Arabidopsis thaliana: one gene and its partner. The protein of the gene in region 2 interacts with the protein of the main gene of each other region in a pairwise test. Each region holds a gene or a part of one and is shown on either strand. Other genes may lie near its edges. The genes, in order: MLO9 and CRK2.

Region 1 (6,237 bases), about 11 Mb from region 2:
AGGAAGAAGAAGAAGAGGAGATGTTGTGGAGCTTGTCATCTAGAGTAATGGCGGATATGTGGCTTAAATCTATAAGGAACCCTGATGTGAAATTGCATTAGTTGATCTTGGAGGTATTCATACTATACAATAAGATGCATTTGTTTATTTATGTTTTGTATATTATTTTTTAAGAGTTTCAAATTTTACCTGCAACAAACATTAGTCAAATGTCTTTTTACCAAATTTTTAAATTTCAGGAATTGGTTCAACTAATTTTCCCTAATGTTATGTATTGTTTTTTTCTGGTTTTCTTTTCTAAGAAAGTCTTTTATATATTAACTCTAAAGTGTACAAATGCATAAAAATTCTACCTTTCCAAAACTATTTTGTACAAAACTATAAATAGGACATGATAAACATGTAGAGAAAAAATCAACTCAAAAATTAAACCCACGTAAGGAATTTATATAATAAATAATAATTACATAGCTAAATCCTATTTTCCAAAAATTGTGTATAGACTATTAAGTAACCAAACTATTAGACTGTTAAATTTGGTCTATCCATAGATTAAAAGGAGAAGCCAATTATTCTCACTTTTCATTCTTTTTCCTCGCCTTCTTATGCCATTGTTCTAATGCTTTTGAAGTTTGCTCATCAAACACTGATCGCTTCATTGTGGATCCCATCTATAAAATATATATTGTAAAAGAATTATGCAATGATAAAACAACTAACTCTATGAAAACATTCAAAGGAAGAAAAAAAGATATATAAATGTTGCATACCTGAGTGACGAGAGCGTAAAGGGGCAATGTGATATAACTGCATAGGAATTGTACTCCCACCCTAAAGCCAAGACCATATATTCAATTTTCACAAACTCGATCGAAAACTTGGTAAAAAAAATTGTTTATGATAATACTATTACTCACCCTAGGCAGACACGAATGATTATAAGGCCAAAATGGTGATGAAAACAGGACCTTAGCCCAAACTCATACTGCAACAAGAATAATTATAACATTATTATAAAAATTTCTAGAAGCAATTAGTACCAACATAAAGTAAAAACTAGAAGAAGAGATTCTGAAAAGTTTACCCATATCCAAAAAAAATAAGTTATCTCAAAAGCATTCTGAAAAGTATCCAAAAAAATAAAATCAGTAATTATACTAAATCATAGGCTTAGGCATTCGGATTTCGGTTCGGATTCAGTTTGGATAATTCGGATGAGGGAGTTTGTTATCCGTTCGGATTATACGACTATTCGGTTCGGTTTTGGTTCGGATGGTGTCGGATTCGGATCACTAAAACATCACATATATCATTCACTTATATAAATTTTCACCTGAAACAGAACGAAGTGGATCATATGAAGTACTAGATCGGGTTTTTCAAACCAAAAATGTTGGTCTGAGACGTTGACAACTGGCATCCCTTGAATTACTGCATGTCTCTCTTGAATCTCCAATGCCATGTACGATATAATGGCTTGTAGCTTTGTTCCTATGGCTAGTGTTAACTTTAAACATAAACCACAATTAGTTCATAAAATGTTCTTTAATCTTTTTGAAGTAAGAATGAGCTTCGTATAGTAGATAAATTAATGACTTACTAGAGGAGGAATCATGGTGATTACGGCAGTAACATACCATCCTATAAAGTTTTTTGTTTTTATATATAGATCAATTATTAGTAAGTCAAGATATCATAATGTAGAAGTACGATAAACTAAAGACTAACCGTGAACATCGAAGAGTAAAAACAACATTACAAAGGCCCAAAGCTCGGGTCTGTCATCATCAGTGGTAGATTTCATTAGAAACAAATAAAGCAAACTAGACTAAAAATGTGAAAGAGGATATGAGTTACCTTATTCCTACAACCACCTTGAAGTCGTCTTCCAAAGATCTTTTGATGTACTTTTGAAAATCAAACTTCATACCAGGTGCCAAATGAACCTAAATACATAGGGTTTTAGAGCAACAAACAATTGGATATTAATGGAGAATTAATGTAAGATATTAATGCACTCACACTTATGAATCCATGTCGCATTGTCAAGTAATCAGACTTCCTCACTGATCTAAGTATTTGACGGAAGAAGCACATCTGAAAATTAACCTCTAGTTCCATTAGATTAGAGATGATAATTGTGCAAGAATAACACTTAGAATTTAAGAAAATCGTACAACGTAGAAGAAGAATTTATTGCTAGCCCAAGAATTGACATGTTCTCGGACAAATGATGTCTCATGTGTGAGTCTAAATCTTGATGGATCTGTATTAAAAAAATAAAAATAGCAAGGACAGTAAAATTTTGATTAGCTAGGACAGTAAAATTTTGATCACCATGCAAAATATAAAGTTCACTCTACCATTCATCATTTCTTGTTCATGGATGACCTCTTGCTCCCATACTTTCCAGCCACGAATCTATGTTTACGAAAAAACGAATTAGTTCAATTAAAATCATCATCAACACATATATACAATGTGAAAAATTTCTACCAATATACCTTGGCTCTTCCAAGCATCATGGTTATAGCACTATATATAACATGGAACACGGCCAAGAAGAATATGAATATATGCACTTGATGTAATGCGTTTAATGATATAAGTGCGACATAATCCTGAAACGATAACAAAATAATAAGTTAATAAAACTACTTAAAACTTTTATGCTGAAACAGTAGTTAATATTACTTTCTTGCAATTTACTGGAGGAGCGTCGGCCAAAGAACGACGTTGAACAGAGTAGAGAATACGCATTGCATGGTCTGTTTTCTTGAGCTTTTTACGATCATCTTCACTAGGTCCATCATATGGACCACAAAAAGACATTGCATGGCCGTATCTTGATGGAACACATATGCTCGCAATGTAGTTTTGGCCAAATGTTAGAAGCAGGGAAATAAATCCCAAAACCATAAGCTCTACAATATGTAACATAATTTTGAGTTAAATATATATATATAGGAACCAAAACTTTTCATGAAAATAATAGGGATACGATCCATCAGTTACATCCCTAACCATACGCTAACCACACGAAAAATTCCATCTTCACTACATAAAAGAAAAGATAGCACTCCAACCAGAAGACCAAAATAGATTGAAGACGAAGACGGTCAAAGAAAATAACAGATTGATTTATTCTGTTAGCGTGTGAGGCTTATCTATTACGGAAATCAACGTGTTTTTCACTTTTTTGATTACTTTGTTAAACTCATATATTGGTTGTGTGGTTTGTAGAGCTTCAATCTGTGTGCTCACTGATATATTTGTATTATCGTCTTTAAATTAATAAAGAAAATATATATATATATATATATATATATATATATATATATATGAACGAAAACAATTGTTCCTTGATTTCAAGAAACCAAAAAAAATAATTTCTATATTGTTACCATTTTTAATCTTCTCAAGAGCTTCAAACAAAGCTTTCTTCTTCTTTCGTTCGAAAACCTACAAGCATGGAATTAAGTGTAACCAAAAAAGTAGCAAATGCAAAGCATATATACATCCATAAGGTATAATGGTGTTCTCTATCAAATCACCTCGCCGACTTTGTGAATGATGAGTTCCAAAATAATGGAGATCAAGATGATAACACCACAAACTGTAGAAACGGCCCAAGTCGGGGTCTGGTCTAGCTGTCTTGGACCTTCGCCACCTCCTCCACCACCACCTCCAGCCATTACTTAAAACCGTGATGATTATCTTTTTATTTTTATTTTTTAGTATGTGTTTGGTATCAGAATTTCAATTTCAAAAGAGAAGAGACAATAAAAATGAAGTCAAAGAGATAGAGAGAATGAAAAGGAAAGGGATGATGTTGCCATTGACGAGCATGCGAAAATAGTAGATAAGAGTGTAGACAAATCCGGTGAGTTATTTTTTAAAAAATATTAATTTTGTTTTTTTTATCAATTTATTGTCTTCCCTATTTTACAGGTTTCCACATTATTTAAGTGGGAATGTATGGAGAAGAACGAGTACGGAATAATTGGTGGAGGAAATTTAGAAGAAAAAAAATGAGAGAATTAAAGAGACGTCGTTAGCAAACTACAATAGACATCATTAAGCAATTGGATTCTAGATATATAGTATTCGTTAGAATAATTAATAAATTAAACTAGCATGCAAAATTAAAAAGCATGTGCAATTAAAATGCTAGTAAGAAGAAAATAAACTGGACAAATCGTCTTTATGTACTACAAAGAATTGTTCCATTTCTTACTGCATAAAATGTAGAAAATAGTGGGAAAAGTGATACCATCGCCTAATTTATACTATTTTAATAGGATATAAGTAAAAAAATCTGTATCATATTACAGAAGACTCGCATCATATTAAAGAGAGACAATTTTTAGAGCTAGGCCCGAACAAAATATTCATTAGATCCGTTTCGACTCAGTTTTTTATTTGATTTGATTCAAAAATCCGAATATCCGTAAGATTTTCAAGCAAATCAAATAGGAAAATATAATATTCGTAAAAATCGATGCAAATAACAAATATTATCCGCTTTGATTCGTATTTTATATATATATATATATATATATATTAGAATATATAATTATGTATATATATAAATATCATAATATAGTTTGTATATTTATATATTTTTGGGTTTATATTTGTAACTTCAGTATTTTTCTTCTTTGGAAATCTTGTGTTTTTATGTTAAGATGTAAGTTTGATCATTTTTCTTTCATGTTAGTGGTATCTTAAACTATCAGGTTTTAGGTCATCTCCAACAACAGTTTCTCAATGAGTAACTGAAGATTAAAAAAATAAAAAGTAATGAAAAAGGTGGAAAGAGAAAGAGATACGTTTCTCATATGAGAAACCCACTTTAATACTTGTGTCTTTATGATTGGTCAGATTTTTTTATTTATAATTTAAAATTTAAATAAATGATTTATTTATTATTAACTGATTAAAAAATATAATTGAGAGACTCACACCATCTTTTTGCGTTGGAGATGCCCTTAGTTTTTAGAATTAGTTTGATGGTATTTTCTTGATCAGTGATATCAAAAATAGTTATGTTCTGTTTTTTGGAACTTATTTTGACATCATGTCAAACAATTTTTTTGAGAAAAATAATTAGATGTATCAAAGCGAATTTCCGCAAATATCACAAAAAAATCTGGATATTCGAATTTTTGGATATTCGGAAATTTTTGGATCAAAATAATTTTTGCCTAACCCGCAAATTAGCATATATTTGTTAGTTTTTTTTAGACATGACCAAAATTAAACCGTAACCGTATTTCGGGCCGTAACCGGACTATTTTCAAACTGTAACCGTATAAAACGGTTAATAACCGTAAGTGTTGACAATAAAAATGGAATAGTTACAGTTAAAAAAAATATACTAACTATACCCGTCAATAAAACGTAACCATATCAAACTCGTAGTTAAAAGTACGGTGAACCGTACGATTAACTACATAGATAACAACATAGTTAAAACCGTAAAAATACAATTTTAAATATTTGTAATACAAAAATATATATCAAATGTTCAGGAAAAGAATTTCAAAAAAGTAAATAATATCGCATATAAAAATAATCTAAAACATACTTTTCATTTTTAAAAGCAATAAAAAAGTCGAATAACCATAAACATATTTAACCGTAATCATTGTAACTGTAACCGTATTCAACCGTAATTGTATCTAAATATAACCATCTTAACCGTATATATAATGGTTAAGGTTACGATTAAAGAAACTTTATAACCGTAACAATGGTCATGCCTAGTTTTCTTATTTAATTGGGTTGTCGAGTTGTAGCCCCACACAATTTCCTTTTTCTTGCCTCAACCCCATCAATGTTGATACTTTATTTGTAACCTTGTAAGTTGTTAAACCCCTAAAATTTGAATTTCGAGTTATAAGAGCAACTCCAATGGTTTAGAACCAATTGGTTTTTAATTTTGAATCTTAGCCTTATTTTAAATTAAAATATTGCTTTTACTAAGTTAAGAAAAGTTAACAAAAACTTAACTAATTTCTACTCCAATGGTTAAGAGCTATTGGTTTCTTAAGAAACAAAAATTTAAATTATTCCAAAACAATGTCTTATAATACACGCAACTACACAAGATGTTTATAATACAATTCAAATCACCGAGGACTTCCAACTAGGCAACTACACAAGATGCTTGTTGACACTATCACAAATCCCTGCAAAATGATGTAAAGACATTACAAAGAGATTGGGGGACTT
Region 2 (5,436 bases):
TATACAAAAATTTGTCTGTTCCTAACATATGTTGTGGTGGTTGCTACAGGTAGTCTTGGTTTGTGGAGCAGAAGCCAGTTTCTGAGGACTTGACAAATACAACACACGTTGACATCAACCTACCAATGCTGCTCTATTTGTCCAGAGAGAAGCCCGCCTGGTTCTGAGATCCCGTACAAGAAAGCAGGAGCACATAGTTTCTAAGTTCTGATCTATGTGTCCAGATAGAAGCAGCCTGGTTCTGAGATCACAACAAGAAAGCAGGAGCACAAACAACAACAAAGCTTGAGCTCGAGTACCTACCTTAAACTGCTGCATTGAACCACCAATCTTATATGTTTGCAAGTCTGGTGTGGATGAGGATAACATTTTTTTGAAGATGGCATATGTTGGGAAATTCTCAGACATTTCATTCTTTGTTTCTGTTGTCTTCTCTCTTGCAAACTCGCAAGTCCGTTTATAAGCTTGCAAACTATTAAAGATAAATGTTTGAAGCTATGGGTTGGTTGAAGAAATCGCACCTAGAGCTTGAATTATTGAGTACTTTTTTTTTGTTATCAAGTATGATACATAAGATATAACTTACCTATACTATCTAGCTTCTCTCACTGGTTTATACACAAAATTTTAGTTTCTGCTCAAAGATCAAAGATTTTGTATTCTCTTCTTCTTATACACTTCTTCAAAGCTCATCTACCATAAAAGGAACTTTGTGAGACAGTGGCAAGAGATGCACAACCAGCTGAATCACCATCAGAACCATCTCGAAGTTCCATGACTCTTTCATCCATAAACGGAGGATTACTCGGCAATGGCAAGACCTCCTCTTTGTTCTTTAGCATATGTAATAACTTAGACATCGGTGGTCTTAGCGAAGGGATCTCTTGAGTGCACAATAGCCCTATTTGAACAACTCTTGCTATCTCTTTCTTGATGATGTGACTGTCATACTGACTCTTCCAATCGAGGTTTGGATCATATATTTTCTCCAACTCTCCTGACTGAAAATGCTTCCATGCCTTCAATAAAAAACATAACACCACAATTAGTTTGAGAAGTGAAACCTGCAGACCCATAGACAAAATATGTCTAACTTACCTCTGTGATCAAACTGTCTGAGTAATCTGACATTTTGCTTTTGGTGTTCTGTTTTCCAGTTACAATCTCTAGTACAAGAACTCCAAAGCTGTAAACGTCTACCATCTCTGTTAGCTGACCATGTGCTAAGTACTCCGGAGCCATATAACCTCTGCAGTTTCACAAGTATTGGATCAGCTCAAACATTCATATCTTTTTGAAGAAATGGTACATTTTTCTGAATATATACTTACAAGGTCCCTGCAATGGCAGTGCTAATATGGCTCTTATCGTCCTGGAATGATCTCGCCAGACCAAAATCGGCGATTTTAGCTTGAAGCTTTGAATCTAGCAGAATATTACTTGCTTTTATGTCTCTGTGAATAATTTTCACAGACGACTGCTCATGCAGATACACCAATCCTTCAGCGGTTCCAACGATGATCGTGTATCTTCTCTGCCAGTCTAATGTTTTCCCTCTGTTCACGTCTGCAAAAGTAATAATGAAGACAGGTTTAGTGTGCTGCTGCATTCAAGATTCAACAATAAAAACTCATCATATAGTATTATTAGTAGTAGTTACCAAAGATGAATCGATCAAGGCTCTTGTTCTGAAGGTATTCATAGACAAGGAGACTCTCTGGTCCTGAGCAGCTGCAACCAAGCAGCCTAACAAGGTTCTTATGTTCAACAGTGCTGATCATGTTGACTTCATTGTAGAAATCGGTTGCTCTATGTCTGTTGTTAAAGAATAACCGCTTCACAGCGATATCTCTTCCGTCTGGAAGAACCCCCTAAACAAGCCAGAGAGATACCACTATATCACTCATTTGCTTTACAGGAAGGTATAGAAAGAGAGACATGATCATACACACACATACCTTATAGACAGTTCCAAATCCGCCTTGTCCAAGCTTGTTCGCGTTGTCAAAAGAACCTGTGGCTTTCTCTAGTGTTGAGTATTTGAAATTCAAGCTACTGTCTTTTAGTGTTTTCGCCATTTTCTCAACATCTTTTGATCCTGTTAAGCACCAAAGATCTCGGTTAAAAACACTCAATCCTTCTTAAACCAATTCATCACAAATCAAGAAACTAATCTTACCTCTTCTCTTCCTCTTTATGGTCCGACGTTTGCAGATATAAACACTTACTGCTACTCCAATCATGAAGACAACCACAGAGCTAAGTACTGACACCACAATCACTACCACAGAGCCTGCAAAAACAATTACTTATGACCATCAAGCGAATGAGATTCTATAGAAAGCATGAATCTTTTTATTGTGTTACCTCTTGATCTTCCGTTTCTTGGTATCTTATTCAAGAAATCTTGATCAGAGTACCGAAGGAAACATCCAGTGTGAAGCGCACGTCCTTCTGACCATGGCAAACATCCTTTAACCACAGAAGCAGAGGCATTCTCCAAACACTGTTTACAAGAATCAGGACTCAAAGTTCTCCAACAATTCGCCAACACAAACGCTGATTCAGATTCAGATTCACCCGCCTTTGCAGACGCACGAGCGTACCCTCCAGTCCCAGAAGCCTCAGTAACAGCATTTCTCAGCCCTTGTCTCACCGCATCACCAAAAGTCTTATTCTTTCTCGTCGTGTTTCCACATACGATGCTATCTTCAGGTCCTTTGTATTCATTATAGAAACTATAATTCTCAGCTCTCATAAAACATCCATCAAGAAAGATTCTACCTCCGTTCTGAGGATAACACTGCGGAAGCATCGTCCTTGCTTCCGCGTAACAGAGTACACAATCGTTTAAAGGAAGATCACCATAGCACTGCGCAAGACCATAGTTAGCGTCTGGTCCTGTACCGGTGAGAGCAACTCCAAAACCGGAAGTTTGTACTTGTGTGCTGATTTTCTCCATTGTGGCTACGAAATTTGGGACATAAGCGGTTTCGTTGTGCTCAAGCAAAGGTGAGCAAGTGACTTTAACGGCTCTAGCCCTTGCGTCTCCGGTGATTTGACGGAGTGATGAAAGAAGAAACATCAAGAGACATGGAAGGTACAGAGGAAGGATATGGACAGGTTCTTTCTTCATTTTGTTTTGTTTGATTGAGAAAGAGATCTCCTTTTTTTATTCCCTCATCAAGGGTTTTGTGTTCTGTTTCAAGTTGTGAAGAAAGAAGAAGCAGAGAGATTAAGAATTGGAGATGATGAAATTGAAGAATTTTCAACTGCTTGACTTTGATGATATTGGTTTGTTAGAGTCAACCAAATTTGCTGTCTTTCTCTCTCTCTCTCTACTGGTTTAGTCAAAAAGTTAATAAAAAAAATTGATAATGGAGATTGTTGGATTTCTTCTTAGTCTTGAATTCACACTTGGAAACCAAACCAGCTCGATCATGTTGTTGAAGTCGTTGTCTTCATTCAAATATTTGTCGTTTTCATAAACCTAAAAACCAGTGGACTAATAATTAATAGAGCTTATCTTATGTGGAGCCGGTTCGGTTTAATTGGATAAATCTCTTTACCGGTATCATGAAAAATTCAATTTTCTGATTAGTTAAAGAAAAAAGAAAACGTCACATATGCGTAGTGTTTAGTAAGATGACATTCAAGAAAATGGATAAAGTGACGTTAGACTACTTTAAATAAAGAAATAGGTTTGTTGGGTTGATTTTTTTTTTGTCAATTTGTTGGGTTGATTTAGTAGGCCTAGTTGGTATAGTACAATAAAAGTTGTACAAATAATAAAAATATATATAACAAAATACCATTTACATGTTGCCATGGTCAAAGTTTTATTCAAGATCAATTGCAAAGAAAAATGAGAAGTAGTTGGACATTCAATTCTAAAAATGTTAAATCTAGTTGGCTATAATAAAGACATATGTAGTATATGTGTTTCTATCTAGTAGTCTCCTATGGCTTCCTTGAAAGAAAACAAAAACACTGATAAAAAGTCCTTGATTCGAATCCACTTGTGCAAAAATTAGGAGATCATGATCCAAACTTTGCGGTAATAAATTTAGTGAATTTTTAGTGATTTGATTTTTTTCTTGTGTACATTTAATATGTTTCATATTTTGATTCTTAGGTAAATATCCTTATGGCATTATTTGGTTTTACTCGAATTTCTTTGCATTTGTGGTTGCATTTTTCTATTTAAATATGACATTTACTCTTTCTCTTTTTGTAAAGTTAAAACGAGAACAAACACAAAAACCGCTTACTAATATACAAAGCTACTCAAAATTAACACACAAAATAAAACTACTGAACCGTAAACCGAATCACTACAATCAAAACCGAGGCTAAACCGGAATCTGTCCCCGTCATGTAAGCTCTACATTGTTCACTTCCTAGCTTCTATGACATTGTCGTGGCACATAAGTAACCCTCAGTTCCTAGCTAACACACGATTAATTGGCATCTCAATTTTTGTACATATGACACAAGATGATTCAGAATCCACACGAAAGGATACTGATATATCTAACACGATCTAAAACCTCATCTAGGTTCAAAGAAACTCGAACCCTCGGTTATGTAGTCACTCCTTGATCCTGAAGAATTAGACTGATTCGTCGTGGGAGTCATCATCATCTTTCTCATCTCTACTACACTTCCTGGATTCAGAAACGGTGGTTGCGTCGGCGTATGAATCTCCAAACTCCCTTTCATCATTTTCACAACCACAGACATCGCAGGCCGCTGATCAAACGCTGCTTGAACACAGAGAAGCCCAATTTGAAGTAGCCGTGACGCTTCTATCTTGTTGAAGTTATCACCTAAGATTGGATCCACTGCCTCTTCCACATTGCTTGTTCTGTACAGACTCCATACCTAAAATATGTTTTCAAGATTCAAGAAAAAGGATTTGATCTAAAATCAAGAAAATGTTTGAACTACTTGTAGAGAGTTAGTTTACCGATTGTAGGATCGAACCAGCGTCTTGTACGAAGGCATTGTTACGTTTTCCGGTTATAACTTCAATCATAAGAACTCCAAAACTATAAACGTCTGCTTTCTCAGTTAGTTTTCCTCGTACTACATATTCTGGTGCCATGTAGCCTCTGTTTCCACAAGTAAGAATCTTCAGAAACAACACAAGAAACGGTAGAGAGAGATATTAAAGTTACAAAGATAAGTTTTGAGACTTTACAGTGTACCGGCGATGGCAGTGCTGATATGAGTCTTGTCCTCTGGGAACAATCTAGCCAATCCAAAATCAGCAATTCTTGGAGTAAAATCATCTTCCAAAAGGATATTACTCAGCTTAATATCTCTATGTATGATTCTAAGATTTGACTCCTCGTGAAGATACGCCATTCCTTCTGCTGTACCAAGTATAATCTTGAATCTCTTTGCCCAATTCAACGGTTGAACATCTTTTCT

Evidence for each region.
Region 1: the proteins of CRK2 (region 2) and MLO9 interact in a protein complementation assay, tested with the Arabidopsis thaliana proteins (one large-scale study listed by BioGRID).

The regions. Positions count from the first base shown.
Region 1 is NC_003070.9:15,979,634-15,985,870, forward strand, and holds MLO9 (Seven transmembrane MLO family protein), read right to left. Parts: upstream 3,939-6,237; 5' UTR 3,696-3,938; coding exon 3,555-3,695; intron 3,463-3,554; coding exon 3,405-3,462; intron 2,925-3,404; coding exon 2,695-2,924; intron 2,622-2,694; coding exon 2,505-2,621; intron 2,422-2,504; coding exon 2,364-2,421; intron 2,267-2,363; coding exon 2,178-2,266; intron 2,098-2,177; coding exon 2,023-2,097; intron 1,947-2,022; coding exon 1,858-1,946; intron 1,779-1,857; coding exon 1,729-1,778; intron 1,642-1,728; coding exon 1,601-1,641; intron 1,508-1,600; coding exon 1,334-1,507; coding exon of another isoform or gene 1,310-1,333; exon of another isoform or gene 1,269-1,309; intron 1,121-1,268; coding exon 1,085-1,120; intron 986-1,084; coding exon 918-985; intron 832-917; coding exon 771-831; intron 672-770; coding exon 576-671; 3' UTR 502-575; downstream 1-501. Other genes in the region: PMI1 (plastid movement impaired1), read left to right, coding at 1-101.
Region 2 is NC_003070.9:26,584,199-26,589,634, forward strand, and holds CRK2 (cysteine-rich RLK (RECEPTOR-like protein kinase) 2), read right to left. Parts: upstream 3,431-5,436; 5' UTR 3,137-3,430; coding exon 2,368-3,136; intron 2,294-2,367; coding exon 2,180-2,293; intron 2,099-2,179; coding exon 1,959-2,098; intron 1,872-1,958; coding exon 1,661-1,871; intron 1,567-1,660; coding exon 1,332-1,566; intron 1,250-1,331; coding exon 1,099-1,249; intron 1,020-1,098; coding exon 690-1,019; 3' UTR 531-689; downstream 1-530. Other genes in the region: CRK3 (cysteine-rich RLK (RECEPTOR-like protein kinase) 3), read right to left, coding at 4,552-4,884, 4,970-5,114, 5,204-5,436.